Drosophila melanogaster: one gene and its partner. The protein of the gene in region 1 purifies or fractionates together with the protein of each later gene. This does not show direct contact. Each region holds a gene or a part of one and is shown in the gene's direction. Other genes may lie near its edges.

Region 1 (8,214 bases):
AAAACAGTCTAATTAGAAGCTTAGTCGTTCCACAAACGAGGATCTAATGTCTCTTTCCTGAGGAGAAAGTGAGTTTAAACACAAAATGGGTATTCAAATTTGAAATCAAATACTTAGCAATATACTTAGATGTTTTGAGAAATCAATTTAAAATCAATCAGTATATGGTAACTAATTTTATTAAAGCAGCATAAAAAGCCATGCATTTATGATATCACAAGATATAATTAAAATAGGCTTATGGTGTTTAACCTCATATCAAATGTATGTACACAATAAAATGAATATTCTTTCAAAAGTGTCACTTTAATTCGTTTTTATTTCCCATTCATTGCCTTTAGACCACCCAATTTCTCTCTCTTTACTCTTGGTATTCGATGTATGGATGTGCAGAAATCATTTTGAAATGGATCGTCTGTCCAATGAACCCGGTCTTTCCAGTGAGTGTGCCGTGCCCTGGTCAGTCCGCTCACTTAAAGCTGCAGTGTGGATGCCATTATATGGACGTCTTTCCCTACTCCCATGCAACTCTTTGCCTTCTTCCCATTGCCCCCGACTGTCTTCACTTCTCCCAACCGCTGACAAATTCGCTTGGGGCTACTCTGCTAAAATTCCATTGAGTCCCCATACAATCCCATACAGAAGCATAAGCACTGCCACTGCTACATCCACGATGACCGCGCAGTTTTGGGGGCTATTTGCATGGGGACACCTATTTTTAGCTAGACAGTGGAGCAATGACTCTTTTATGCCCCGCGAGTGCGAATATGCCATTGGTAGCAAGCCGAACTGATTTTGATCGTTCTTGTGCCCTATAAGGATCAGGATCATCCAATCTAGGTTTCTTTAATACTAAAGAGCTGTATGCTCCGTGGTGACCTGTGCCACCTACGAGTATAGCCTTAGTTTGTTCTGCCGGCCAAAAGGCCATTCCAACTACTGAAGAACATACATACTCGTACATGGATTTGAGACCACCGAGAGCTGCCCTTCAGAAACACACACACATTTGTGCGGCGGGTGTAACCATGCCCATAGGAGGCAATCGGTCTTGTGATAGGGAACACTTCCGACGACCTTGATCCGAGCACAATTTGGCCCCACTCATTAAGGCGATGTGCACAACGTACGCGAGTGTTTCAGATTAATTAAAGCAGTCGGGCCAAGCCAAACAGCGTCACCATCAGCCGAGAAATACCGACTGGCTGTCTGAGCCCCGCCACCCACGGCCATTGGTACCTAATCAGATATGTATGTATATCGATGCTACTGGGAATTTGACTGTGCCTGGGACTGTTGTTTCTACTGGGAAAGTGTCATGGCATGGGTGAAACACATTTAACGCCTCGAGCCATAAATTACGAGCCGTGCCAGCAGCAGTGCTGACAACATAAATCTGAATTAGTGGCAAGCGGGGCAGCAAGCAACAAACAAAACCGAGTATCGATCTCACGATCCGTGGTCACTTAATGCCGGTACCTCGTAAATGGTATTCATAACTCTCACCCGCTCCACCAGGGATTCGGCGCGGCGCGCGAAGGAGGCGCGTTTATCGGCAATGGACATGGTTGGACTGGGGCTCTGGATGCGGTTCAGGATCGGTGACTGGGACTGGGCTATCCGGAAGATACTGGGAACCGACAAGTCACGCGGGGGTGTAGGTATCACCGGGGAACGCAGCTGAAATGAAAAGAGGCAGAACTTTAAACAGGCTGTTATCTATCTAAGGCACACGATCGATATGGTTTTAAGTCTGTAATAACTAAGCAAATATCGCACGGCACACGCTAAGTCGAATCATATGCAAATACAGTGGACATCAACAAGACCCAATACCAATACCAAATACTAGTTGCTAGTGCAAGTACAATCTATGCAGGAGCCATCTTGCTAGCCGAATTCCTTTTATTTCTATTCTTAGGGTTAACCAATTGGTTTATAGTTCATATAGCATTATTTGCCAAAAAAAAAAAATATATATATATATAATGGCAACATTCGAGGTGGAGGTCCCGGCCCCAAAAGTCATGAAATCTGCCGCGTATGTGTTTTCATTTTTGGCGAAAACAAAGAAAGACTCGGCGATGAAATGCAATTAATATGCAAGTGCCACTCATTGTGATGGTACTATTCTGGTCTATTACCTTATGGACCGAATCGCAATTATGGCGCAACTTCAACTTTGGACTCGAAAGTGTCAGCCACCGAGCTCAGCATAAATATTCGAGCGGAAATTATCAACAACTGACATTAAAATCGGAGCGGGAAAGACGCGACTTTCGGCCGGAGACGATCGCATGCGATGAAAACGCGTCCAAGTCGGAGGAATACCGCCGTAGAACTGATGACACACCCGGGCCGAATGCTCGACTTTTGTAGCGTAGCGAGCATAAAGAGAGTGCGTTGAAATGGGAAATTCATTATTTTATTTTTAAACGTCGTCGCCCTCTCTATTTTCGCAGATTGGCTTTTCCTCGCTTGTTTCTTGTTTCGTGGCAGATTGATTTATGGATTTCGGTGCAACAGGTGCTGGCCAGTTGACAGAGCGCCGAAAGTCCGCCGGACACACCCACTGCTTCCAATCTGGAAAACTGATTGGGACACAAAGCTGCATCCAATTTGCATAATCCCATCAAAGAGCACTTGCACCCAATTATGATAATTTCGGCTTGACGCACTAGGCATTATTGGCTTCGAAAAATTGGAACTGCAGTTCAAATTCAAAAACAAGGTACGGAGAAACTAAAACAAGAGGGAACGCTACAGGCGAGTTCCCCGACTATTAGATACTCCTTTCTCTGCTAGTGAAAGTTCAAACATGAATTTCAACATTTTCTGACATAGCAATAAAACTAAATTAATCTCTCTTATATATGTAGTTCCTGAGATCTCGACGTGCATACGGACGGACATGGCCAGTTCGATTCGGCTAGTGTTCCTTACCAATATATGCTTTATTGGCTCGAAAAACACTTCCTTTCACCTGATACATATTCGTTGAAAAAGGAATCTAGAATACTTCTTTTTTAATCTACGAGTAATATTTTTCATCGCGACCCGTTCATTAATCATTAATCATTACTAAATCTTACTAGTTCTGCCATTTGGTCTATAAGACATATTGGAATTGGAATGCAATTCAATTCATTTTAGTCTAGCGTTTGTACTTTTAGTAGAAATAATTCTCATATGGATGGAAGATTTCAATCGGAGTATTAAAACCAGCCCTCATTTTCTAAAATCGTGCAAAAAAGATATGAAAATTAAAGTATTAAGTGCCATTAATGCCATTAAGAATAGGTTTGGTTTTATTTTTCACCAGCCCACTTTTCAGATTAGCAATGCTAAACTCTCAGCATTACCTTTAAAAAATCGTTCTCATTTGCGACTAGTTCGAATATCTATCTACATTCTGCCGAAACTAACTAGAGAAAAACTGAAGTTCTACGTATGTAAGTATAACACATTTATTCTACACAGCATTAGCGAGGTTACACACCTAGCGAAGTCATCCTCCCAATTAAAATTTCCCTAAGCGGAGCTAGTCACCACGACCACATTGCCACTTTATTAAAACTAATAACTGTTTAATAACTGTAATAGAATAAGTTAAAATAATTAAATAATATGACTAATCACGTGTTGCTAATACAGTTAAAAGGCTAATTATTTAATTTAATTAATGTTTTGTAAACAGTTTCCATGCAGATGTATTAATAGTTTCCATGGCAGACTTTCTGAAAATGAACATTCTAAAACTTAGCGGAATTTCCCCTCTCTTTCTAACGGTTATTTGCTATGCTTTCAAGCGAAAGTAATCGATGGTAGCGAGGAGCGTATCGATGTGCGCCAGTTTTTTGGTGGCAGCGATGGTATCGCACACACATCGATTCTAGTGCCAGCCCTATTTTTTGTGCAATTATTTATTAAAAATAAGCAACGACGTGAGCGAACGACACGACCCACGAACGAAGGCAACGAAATGGCAACGCGCGGCGGACCAATGGTCGCGGGCACCGATGGCAACGACTTCGAGTTCAGGCAGCGCGTAGCTGGCACATATCAAATTAGGTTAATAACACTTCGTGCTATCGCCAGCTCTCAGCTACACTCGAAATTATCTAATTACTGGGGCGCCTGTGGCAGTAGATCCACCTGCAGGCGGCACCTACTGCAGCCGAATCGCAGGTGGCGTCCAGCCAGGGCGGCGGAGCACCCTGGAGCTGCTGCACCCACCCACTTGCTGCTGTAGGGGGCGGGTGGGCAAAGTGCCAGCTGGGCAGCATGTGCGCCCCAATATGGGGCTCACCCACACAGATCCGCCACTGAACGACCACTTTCTCTGCTCTTTTAGCCTGCTGAACAAGTCCAGGTTGAAGTACTGCATCTTCTTTCACGCCCTGCTGTTCTTCGTGATGCTGGCCAAGCTGACGTCGGACATTCTGGACCACCTGGATATCTTTGTGCTGGAGATCGAGGAGCTGGAGGTCCCACCGCCCCTGTGGTGGGAGTACGTGTGGGCCGCGTCGTTGCTCACCTCCTTCCTGGGCCTTTCGGCCGCCAGGGGCAACAAGGTGCGCGAAATGCAGAAGTATATGGTGGCCATACTGCTATTCGCCATCCTGCCACTCTTCTACTGCTTCGCCTACTACTTCTCGGACGTGTGGGAGTTCGCCACGCTGGACAAGTCGGTGGAGCTGGACGAGACAGACATCTTTGTGTGGCGCGTAAGTGGCTGGGCCAGTTAATCCCTCAAGAGCCGCCCTACTAAACCTCGGTTTTTCTACAGGGTTATCCGTACGGCGTCTTCTGGTATGCCTTCTGCTTTGTGGGCTTCCAGGTGCACGGATTTACGCTGTACTTCGCCTACAACCTGGTCAAGGCCTGGAAGGCCAGAACTGCCACGCGCAAGTTCCAGTAATCTAAATACTCGCCAAACTAGTAAACGCCGGAATGCAGGGCTAGTTGTAAATAATTTGGAAACTTGAAACTAACTCAAAACACTAGTGCACAAAAGCGTAATGAAACTATGGTAAACTAAAGTTATGCAGCTGTTAAGGTATCGCACACTTAGTCATACAGGAAGGGAAACATATGGTCGAAACTGAGCGAAGCGTCGGCGGTAAGGTTATTGTTAGTTGAAAGTTAGTTGATACCGTTTTCAAATTGATTAAATAGACTCTTATCCATATACACATGTACACCTATACACATAGACATACATATATACACACATACGCAGCCTTGTGAGGTCAACTAAAGACAAGAAGCAACTGAAGCCACCAAATTTCCCCGAGTCGGAATAAAAACTGAAAACCAACCTAGAGATCACTTCATTTTTGCTCACTTACATTTCGACGTGCCTCGTGTTTGTTAGAAACGTTTTATATATATATTTACACATGAAAATATGCGTACATCAGTTTATGTTTGCGTCCACGGATGGTTACTTCCTCGCCTAGTTGATAATTAGTTCACTTTTCTACAAATTTCGAAACCGTTTCATTTTTGCCAGTACGTTAATTTTGAATTTTATTCATCGAACCGCACAGTGCCATGCTTTAAGGCGTCTGGCCGGGTGCTGAACGTTTGAGAACTGCCCCAAACTATTTACAACCTTCTGTCACTGTTTACACACTACTATAAATAAGGATTGAAATGCAATTTGAGTGTTAAAGCAAAGTTCTTCAATTTCTGATCGTCAATAATACTGTGTAATGACAGGCATGTCGCCAAACTAAACTGAGAATTGAATTTTAATGTAATGATGTTTTTTAAATCGTAATTTATTATTCGAATTTTTAAGTAGTTTTTTAAAAATCGATCAATAAAGATGCATATATATTTGTTCTTCTGAGTGGGTTAAACATAGCATTTTATTGCGGTTGATTTAAAACAAATTTTGATAAGTATACCTATTAAGTCACTTAATGTTTATATGCTCATCTACAATATTTATCATAACTTTAAAGAGGCAAATACAAGTTCTCAAGCTTTATTTCTTGAAAAACACCACCAAATAAGGACCTTCGCCCAAAGCAATACAATCCAACACAACCCCACAGGCCGTTGCAATGCGGCTGGCAGGCCGAATTGGCCACAACAATCCAGTTTTAGTGACCATTTGTGCATCGAGGCGAGTGGAGGAGCAACAGCAGGCGAGCATTGCGCAATTGTTTACAATTGGCGACGGAGAGCCAGGAAGCTGAGACAGAGAGAGAAAAAGCTGTGGCGGAGAGCCAAAGCTTTTCCGCAGCATCCTTTTCTCCCTGCTCCGCCCGCTCTCTTAATTTTCCATTTGTACATTGCCTGTGCGAAGAACGGATGCCGAATTTTCCAACACACCATTTCGGACCGAAGTAAACACGAAAACTAAGGAAAAAAAATTGTGAAAAATTCAAAATTACGAAATTACTCGCACTAAATTTAAATAATAAACGACTGGTGGAGCAAAATGCGGGTCGAGGAGGCGACCTATAGGCGCACCACGCGCGAGAAGATTGTGCTGCGAGGGAACACCACCATACGCACCGTGGACTCCACTTCCACATACCTGCCCGTGATGAGTCCTGCGGGGTGAGTGCTTCGCAACGGCAAAGGTCCAAAAGGGTGGGTGCCAGTTGGAGGCGCAAGGCGTGCCGAGACACTTGAGCGTTCCATGACTGTCGCCCCGCAATCGATTTTTATCTCGCGCTGCAGCTGATTTTTAGATACATATACAGATACTATATGTGTGTGCGCGCATCCGAAACGGCCTTCGCTTGTGGCTCACCTCCGGATTATCGGGTTCTGCCTACATGCACATTGAAATGTGGACGAACCACTTCAAGCCTCCTAATGGCGGTGCTCTCAAACGTATGCTATAGTTTCTGGGTCCTCGGGGGAGGCCAACTCAAGAACCGGCTTTCTTTGGCCGCATGCAAGCCTGCCATTAAATTACATTGCCGGCAGATTATTGGGAAACCACTGCCGTTTGAGTAAATAGTCGGGCATACGCGAGTGAGTGAACGCCTTGCTTTCCCCAGAAATCGATGAAATCTTGAGCCAGAAGCTAGCGTGCATTGACCACAGTCCAGCGCGTTGGGTAACCCGAGGAGTTGAGAGTGCTGTGGGCTTACATAGAAGCACGAATGTCCTTTAGACAATGAGGAAACTTCGATAAGCAACTAGACATTAGTAGAAATATTATATATTTCATTTATTTATATATTGTATATATTCTTTTTTTTACCTATCAATAGCTATATACAAGGAGCATATAAGCAGAACAAACATAAACCCATTAAACTGAAATCCATATATTTGAATTTCAATCAATATTTAGAAAGATGGCATTTCCTAGCTCCGATCGGCGATTTCTTTATTTTCCCCCAAGTCGAGATACTCTTTCCCCGTAATTTACCATGATTGAAACCGCCCCCCAAAGTAGCGCCCAAGCGAAACTTCCTTTAACCTCAATCCGCATTCACACGGACGCACACCAGGCAACTGGGAAAACTACCCGGTCCGGTCCGTTCCATACCGGAATGGTAGTGGTGGTCGGTTTGTTGTGGACGCGTCGTCCAGTCAAGCGGTCAGTTTCAGTTGGACTGCAACCCTCGAGTCGGCTGGTCGGGTCGCGTTTTCGAACTCCGAGTGCGAGCCAATCGAAGGCTCCAGGCGCAGACTGTCAGGTAGCAAAGTTTCCGCCCGAACATATCCGCGTGTGTTTTTAAATTAATAGTGAAGTGTCTGTGTCTCGTCCTAATCTGTGTGACGCCGGCACAGCGCCATGTTCAACACCAGTGCACAGAATTGGTTCGGCATGGGCCAGACAGCCGTGGATCCGAGCGGCGGAGTGGCCCAGTTGCTCAACAACAATTCGAGTCTCTACAATCAGCAGCAGCAGCAGGCGGCGGCGGCGCAACATTCCTTCATGCGCCAGCGATCGCTGACCAGCTCCAATCCCGTCCTGGGGCGTTCAAACGCCTTGGCCACGCGGCCCCAGTCGCCGCCCAACGTCCAGGTTGAGTACGAGGTGGCGGTACCCTTCGTTCCCACCTACCGGCACACTCCATACCACTCGCTCTGGGATCTGCACCAATGGTAAGAGCTAGTAGAGATCTGTGGGCACAAGAAATCCACTATAAATTGGATTACTTCCGCATTTGAATTCCTTGACCTGGCAGTTGGTAACTAGCTCGTTGGTTGGTCAACTATCAACCCAAAGTATTT
Region 2 (6,513 bases), on another chromosome or scaffold:
AATAAACTAGCAGAACAAGGCATTTTTCGCGCTTCTCAACACTAGATTCTCATTGAAAGATTCTTTAGTTGTGCTGCAATTTTAGCTAAAAATTGCAAAAAGCTATATAATAATAATTTATTTTTTCCCGTGTTTTGTAATTAACGAAATATTTTTTATATTTTTATTAATCAATTCAAATTGATAAAATTTTCATTTATTCTTAAATTAAATAATGTGTAAATTAATAAAATGAAAATAGCCAAATTAATAAAATACAAGTTGAACGGCGCATTTCCCACCACTATTGCCTTCAGTGTTTTGCAGCACTTATGCATCTAAAAACAGCTGTTCGGGTAATCATTTTTTTTGTTAAAAGTTTCTGTGGAAAAACTATAACAAACGTAGTCTTAGTGTACAATGATCTGGGCTACGGGCTCCGCGTAATCCGCAGCTCACCCGGAAAGGCGTTTTACGATGAATCTACGGCCGCGATGCCGCAAGTGGCTGCCCCTAGCCACCCAGCAACTTCGACTGCGGAACCTTAACAGAATTCAGGGATTCAATATTGAGTCCTGGCCGCATGAGAAGTCGCTGGAGCTAGATGATCCGGATGATGTGCTCCTCTACTACACACTACACACGGACAAGGCTAGCGAAGCGTTCTACACCAGCGAAAAGCTGCCGCAGCGTCACCAACAGCAAAAGTGGGCGGAGATTTGTACGGACGACGAGGCCTGGCGGAAAACCAATGCGCAGTGTGTCTGTGTCAAGGTGTGGAAGCACTATTCGGCGGAAAGAAGAGATGGCCAACCGCCTGAGGTTGAGCAAAGACATAAGGATGTTTTCGGGTAAATAGGAGACTTTGCTTGCAAATAGAACTCTGCTATCATCAACCAACTTACTTCCAGAAGATCCCAGTTAACGCCCAGCAGGCTGCCACGCCCTCCTGAACTACTGTTCAGCTGGGGCGTCTACTTCTCCGGCCTTATACCTCTGTCTCCCCTCACATTGTCCCAGTGCGGACGAAATTGCTTGGTCTTTCAATTGAATGGCGAGCAATTTGCCTCCCCGTCGATGATAAGCGAGCAGGCCTTGCAGTCGCAGCTGCATTTGCACTACCAAAAGTATGCGGAGGAAGAGAAACTAGAAGAGCCGCAGGATGAGGGCATAAACTCGCCGGCCGTTAGTCGTAGTTCGAGTCCCGTGCTGCGAATGAGTACGATGCGCTATGCACAGCTGAAGTGCCAACGGCAGGAGATTCGGCGAAGCAACAACCTCGAAAAGCTTCTCACGTTGCAACGTCTGCAACGCTTGCATCAGCAGAAGCGGCGTCAAATGGCCGAGGTTTGCCGAGAAATAGCCCGCCTCAGTGTACACTGTGTGACCAGGAACGAGCTGCGCTTGAAGCCCCGCACGACATCGCTGTCCGGCGACTACTCCGCCCATCAGTACCATTCCATGGGCCGCGCCCTGAGCGTGTTGCTCGCCGAGCAGCAGCAGATCGCGCCCCTCACGCTTTATAATGCCCAGCAGCTAACTAGAAGGATAGAAGCGCTAAGCAGTCAACAGCGGCTACTTAAAGCGGAGCGGGAAACGTTTCGCCAACGAAACGAGCGCACCCGTCAACTTCTGAAGGAGATGAGAGAACAGCGGGAGGCACAGCAATGGGAGCTCCACAGCCAGCGACATCGACTGGAAAAAGAACGTCTGGAGCTACGAACCCTGGCACCTCAACATCTGGAACAGCGCGATCAAAAAAGACAAATAGAACGGCAGGTGGGGCTGCGGAATCAAATAACATTAAACAAGTATATTAATAAACCTTTTCACCCTTTTAAGGTGGAGCGCCGAATGTCCACACTGGTGTTGGAGCTACAGGAGATCTATAACATCCAGAATGTGGGCGGTCGGCAATTTAGTATCTGCGGCATCGCCTTCCCCCACATGGAGCAATACACGAGCGAGTCACGTCAGGCGGCAAACGCACAGCTTCTGGATAACGTCTCGCCGCTGGCAGTGAGTGCGGCACTGGGTTATGTTGCCCATTTGGTGCAGATGTTAGCCATCATTATGGATCGACCTCTGAGGAACCGTATTCTGTACGAGCCATCGAAAGCAAGGATAGTGGACGATATCAAAGAGTTGACGTACACAACAAGAGAGTAAGCACACAGACTAAATATTACCTTTTGGTATCTTATTGTTCCATCTTAGATTTCCTCTGTATACACGCTCCATTTTGCCGTCGCAGCAAACAAAGTATGCCATCTACCTTTTGCGCCAGAATGTTTCGCAGCTGTGCTTCGACATCACGGGCCAGTGCGATCTGCGAAACACTTTTGGCAATCTGCTGGAGCTATTCAGCACTCTTCGCTACATCGAACGAACGCAAAGGGATGAGGTCGACGAACGGGATGGAACTGCAGTTGGAGCTGGCTGTGGAGAAGCACGCTTGGCAAATGGGTTGACGGCGCCGCACCTGTCGCAATCGCACTCTTCGGTCGACATGAATCATGTGCCACTGCCGACTGGCGTCAATGCGGTCAAGGATGCACTGCTCCAGCAGCTGTTGCCGCCGGGTGTGAGTGAGGCACTGGCAATCGAAGGCTATGCGTCAACTCAACGGTAATCTATATATACATATATTTAGAGCCAAAAACAAAAACTACCGGATAAAATTTAATAATAATATATTGTAATATTCTTGCAGCATTTGCCGTTCGGTGGGGTCCTATTCAGATGGCGAGGATGAGTTTCGCCCGCGACTGGAGCATAACTATTCCAATTCGGACTCCAACATAACTCTGCAAACTGAGCGCAGCTGAGCTAATGCACCCAAAAGTGTTATATTTCCAGCGTTTATATCCAATATCCAAGATAGCATTGTTTAGCGGCTCCTCCTCAGCGGGTTTCTTGGTATTGGCCGCGTATTGTATACTTTTAAATTATAAAAGTCAATGGTGAAGTATATGTGAACGGTAGTCCATTGCGATAATATTATTTTTAGTTGTTTAAGATCTCTGTGTAAATTCCCTTTTATTGTTTGTTTGCTAATATAAGCTACGAATAAAGATTAAATATTTTATACATGACAAATATTTATTTAATATGGATGACAAACATTAGAAACACGTCGATAGAGATTAAGTCGAACAATATCCAAGGTCACAATAAACGAAGTGGTTACGATGCGGAAAACCTAAGCCTTTCTTCATATGTTCTGAAATAATGCTGAGCCCCAAAATTAGTTTATTTGTATATTCTGTTTGAAAAGTATTTTTATGAGTTTTAATTATAGTTTGAATTAGGCGCCAAAAAGTGTTGCAAAGTATGAAGATAAATTGCTCCTTTAACTTATAAAAATTATACCATGTGCTACTGTTACTACATAATATTGTACAATCTGCTTATATTAACTTTTGCTTTATAATTTAAAATGTAAGTTTTGCTTTAAATCCTTAATAAACTCAAAATATTACAGCCACTGCTTGGTCAGTGCTGCAAAACGTTCCGTTCCGTTAACAGTGGTCTGTAAAGCCAGCTGATTAGCATTTCGCCAAAATTATTTCGCTGGCAACTTGCTTCCGGGATTTGAATGTTTTTCGGGCTACATCCGGGCTATTAATAAATAAAAAATGTGTTGTCAAATACCCAAACAACGTCCAAACGTAGTGCGATAATCGATTTAATAATTGAAAACGCGAAAAGCCTGCAAACCAACGTGCTAAATGAAGTGCATGTGCATATGTGTGTGTGGCCCGGGCCTTGGCCTTTTATTTATCGAATTCGTATCAATTAAATTAAAACGCTGAGCAATAGTAGGCAATTGGTATTTATGGTGACGATTTGGTAGCCGGCAACTGTAGCCACTGATAAGCGGACGACGGGGAATGCCTGTGATTTACGCGTATATATAGTGTGTTTACCCTACCTGTTTACCGCTCAAATAAAAAATAAAAGAATAAAACTCCAGGTGTGATAAGGAGCAGCCGTCGTTCACGCCTGAAAATTGCTCAATGGAAACGTGGCAATAAGACTAACTGAGTACCCAGCATTTAATTTTTCTGAGATAATATCATCTGAAAGTGAGAGTAAAACTGCATTTCTGGTGCTAATTAGTTAAATTCAGGCGCCAAAACTCTTTCGAACAGCTCTTTTAATCAAAACTTATTACTTTAAGCTGACTACGCTTGCTCTCTTTTAAGCTCTCTTGTTTTGAAAATGGCTGAGAGCAATGTACCGCTACGAGATTTCGACGAAGAGAGCGAAACGGATTCGGAGACCGAATTGCTCATACGCCGCGATGTACCGAGCGGTAAACAGAACAACAACAACATTAGGGGGCGACGCAAAAGCTCCATGGGCTACAGCGGCGTCGACGCCGGCGCTGGCAGCTCTGCCGCCGGCGGCGGAGGCAGCTTTCTGGGCAATCTTTTCGGATCCAACAGTTTTGGCTCTGCCGCCGGCCAGATACGTTATAGAAATGAGCGGAGTCGCGAGCGCGCCAAACACTCAAACGGTAGCTACAGCAGCATTTCGAAACTGGCGCAATTAACGCACACGTCATCGGGCGTCGCGGGGGCGGGATCGATCGGTGGCGGTGGTGGTGGGAGTGGCAGTGCCACCGGCATTAAAGTAACCACTGGCGATGGCAGTGTAGCGGCATCTGGAGGATCTGCTGCCACGGGGGATCTCAGCAATGGCGCTACGCACAGCACAACCGTCATAGATCCGGAAAATGGCTCATCCACGGTCTTCTACCAGCACAATCGGCGTAAAAGCAAGAGTCGCAGCATTGGCAACGTCTGCAAGTTGTGCCTCTGCAGGTGAGTGTGCATTCGGTGCGATCCAGTCGTTACCCTCCAATGCCAACGCTGCGTATGCGCAATATTTCCATTTCACTGCTGCAATAGTTGGCGGCAGCGGGAGTAATGCGAAAGTATATAGTGCCGCAACAGCTGTTCACTGGCCAGCAAAATATTGGGAATTCAAGTGTTACCTTTAGGGAAAATGGTTAAATGTTTTATATTTTCGCACATAAGCGTTTAATGGCGATTGAGACCCTTTTACTTTTACCACAAGGTATTGAATAAATTATAACTATAGCAGGAAGCAAAAGTTTTAATCTATCACATTAAGACCTCGAAAATTTGTATATTTTTGAAGAAATATTATCTCTTATCGCTTCAATTTAAATGTCTTATGAAATAAATTAGTTTTGTGGAATTTTATAATCTGTGTTTCCGTAGATAGTTGACTTTGAACGTAGAATACCATTGCTCATAAAATGCTGACAACACTAGGTATAAAACTGTTTTTCATCGTAAACTTCTATAAATAATTGAAATGTATATTAAATATTTGGCAAGAAAAAACGTTGACCTCTGTAACGTTCTAGACATTCTATCACTTTCGCAACTCAACAGTTGTTATGGCAAACAAGTTGTTGTTTTGTTTCTGCCACTTGAAATATTTGTTTATTATTTTTTGGCATGAGCCAAATCATTGTGTGGTTTCCCAAAATGAGCAGCGTTGTCTTGCAATTTGATGTTCTTCTTAACTTAGAACTTTTACGAAACACATTTCCAAGAAAATAAATTCTAGCTGAATGTGTGAGAATTTGTGCGCCACACATGTGTGACATACACAATGAATGCAACTGTATGTAAAGCATATATGTATAGCATATATATATAACGATTCCAAGATATATTTTTAATTTACCTAATTAGAGAGAACTTTTGAGAAAGGCCGCACATGCGAACAAGCAAGCACGTCTGTAAGTGGATCGTAGAAAGAAAATTAAAAACATTTCGTTTTCTGCGCGCCGTCGACGGACTGTGCAAATCGATAAACGTGACGACTTCCAAGACTGGGGGAAAAGATTTCGACGAATGGAAAATAATAACAAAAACACGGCTATAAATAGTGGCCAAGACGAGCGACTTGGTTGGGTGACAAGGCATAAACGAAACGCAAACATTGCCATCCATGCCCCGCCTTTCCTTGCCATTTCCTTGCTCCACACCCACTAAGCGAGCGTTTTTCTTATTATTTTGTTTTGTTTTTGTTTTAGAGTACAAACTCTTGTTGCCGCAAAACTTTGGCCAAAAATATCACACACAACACCACCCGTTAGCTGTGCATTTTTAATCGATGTTTGCCGTGCGACTTTAAGCCCCATTGGTGGGCGAACGAAAATAAGAAACATGAACGAAAACGACTCAAGAAGTCACCAAGAAATGCTAAAAAATTCGAAAACCAGTTCCTCAGCTGGTTTTGGCCACACAACACAATCTTGTATTCAAGGTTTCTAAAAAATACAAACGAGTTGCACACAAGAAGTGAGTCGCTTTAGGGTTTTTAGTTTTACTTTTTCGGTCGGACTCTGCTTTCTGTGTTAAAAATTGAAAGTTTCTCTGCCGCCCAACTTCAAATAATTGCAGCATAGATCTGCAGATTGATATGGTTATTTAAACTTCTAAATTTTCTATGTTGACAAAGCGTTTCCTTATGTGAACATCTATTTGT

What was found.
Region 2: the proteins of jagn (region 1) and CG31729 purify together in Drosophila melanogaster (affinity purification with mass spectrometry, with the first as the bait; one large-scale study listed by BioGRID). This does not show direct contact.

What each region holds. Positions count from the first base shown.
Region 1 is NT_033777.3:5,775,446-5,783,659, forward strand, and holds jagn (jagunal), read left to right. Parts: upstream 1-3,869; 5' UTR 3,870-3,982; coding exon 3,983-4,071; intron 4,072-4,354; coding exon 4,355-4,727; intron 4,728-4,789; coding exon 4,790-4,921; 3' UTR 4,922-5,863; downstream 5,864-8,214. Other genes in the region: kat-60L1 (katanin p60-like 1), read left to right, coding at 7,772-8,085. UniProt on the Drosophila melanogaster protein: Required for endoplasmic reticulum organization and proper vesicular traffic during vitellogenesis. Required for oocyte and bristle growth.
Region 2 is NT_033779.5:13,286,484-13,292,996, forward strand, and holds the start of CG31729 (uncharacterized protein), read left to right. Parts: upstream 1-3,513; 5' UTR 3,514-4,203; coding exon 4,204-4,808; intron 4,809-6,513. Other genes in the region: Uvrag (UV-resistance associated gene), read left to right, coding at 457-830, 891-1,758, 1,822-2,144, 2,197-2,607, 2,693-2,807.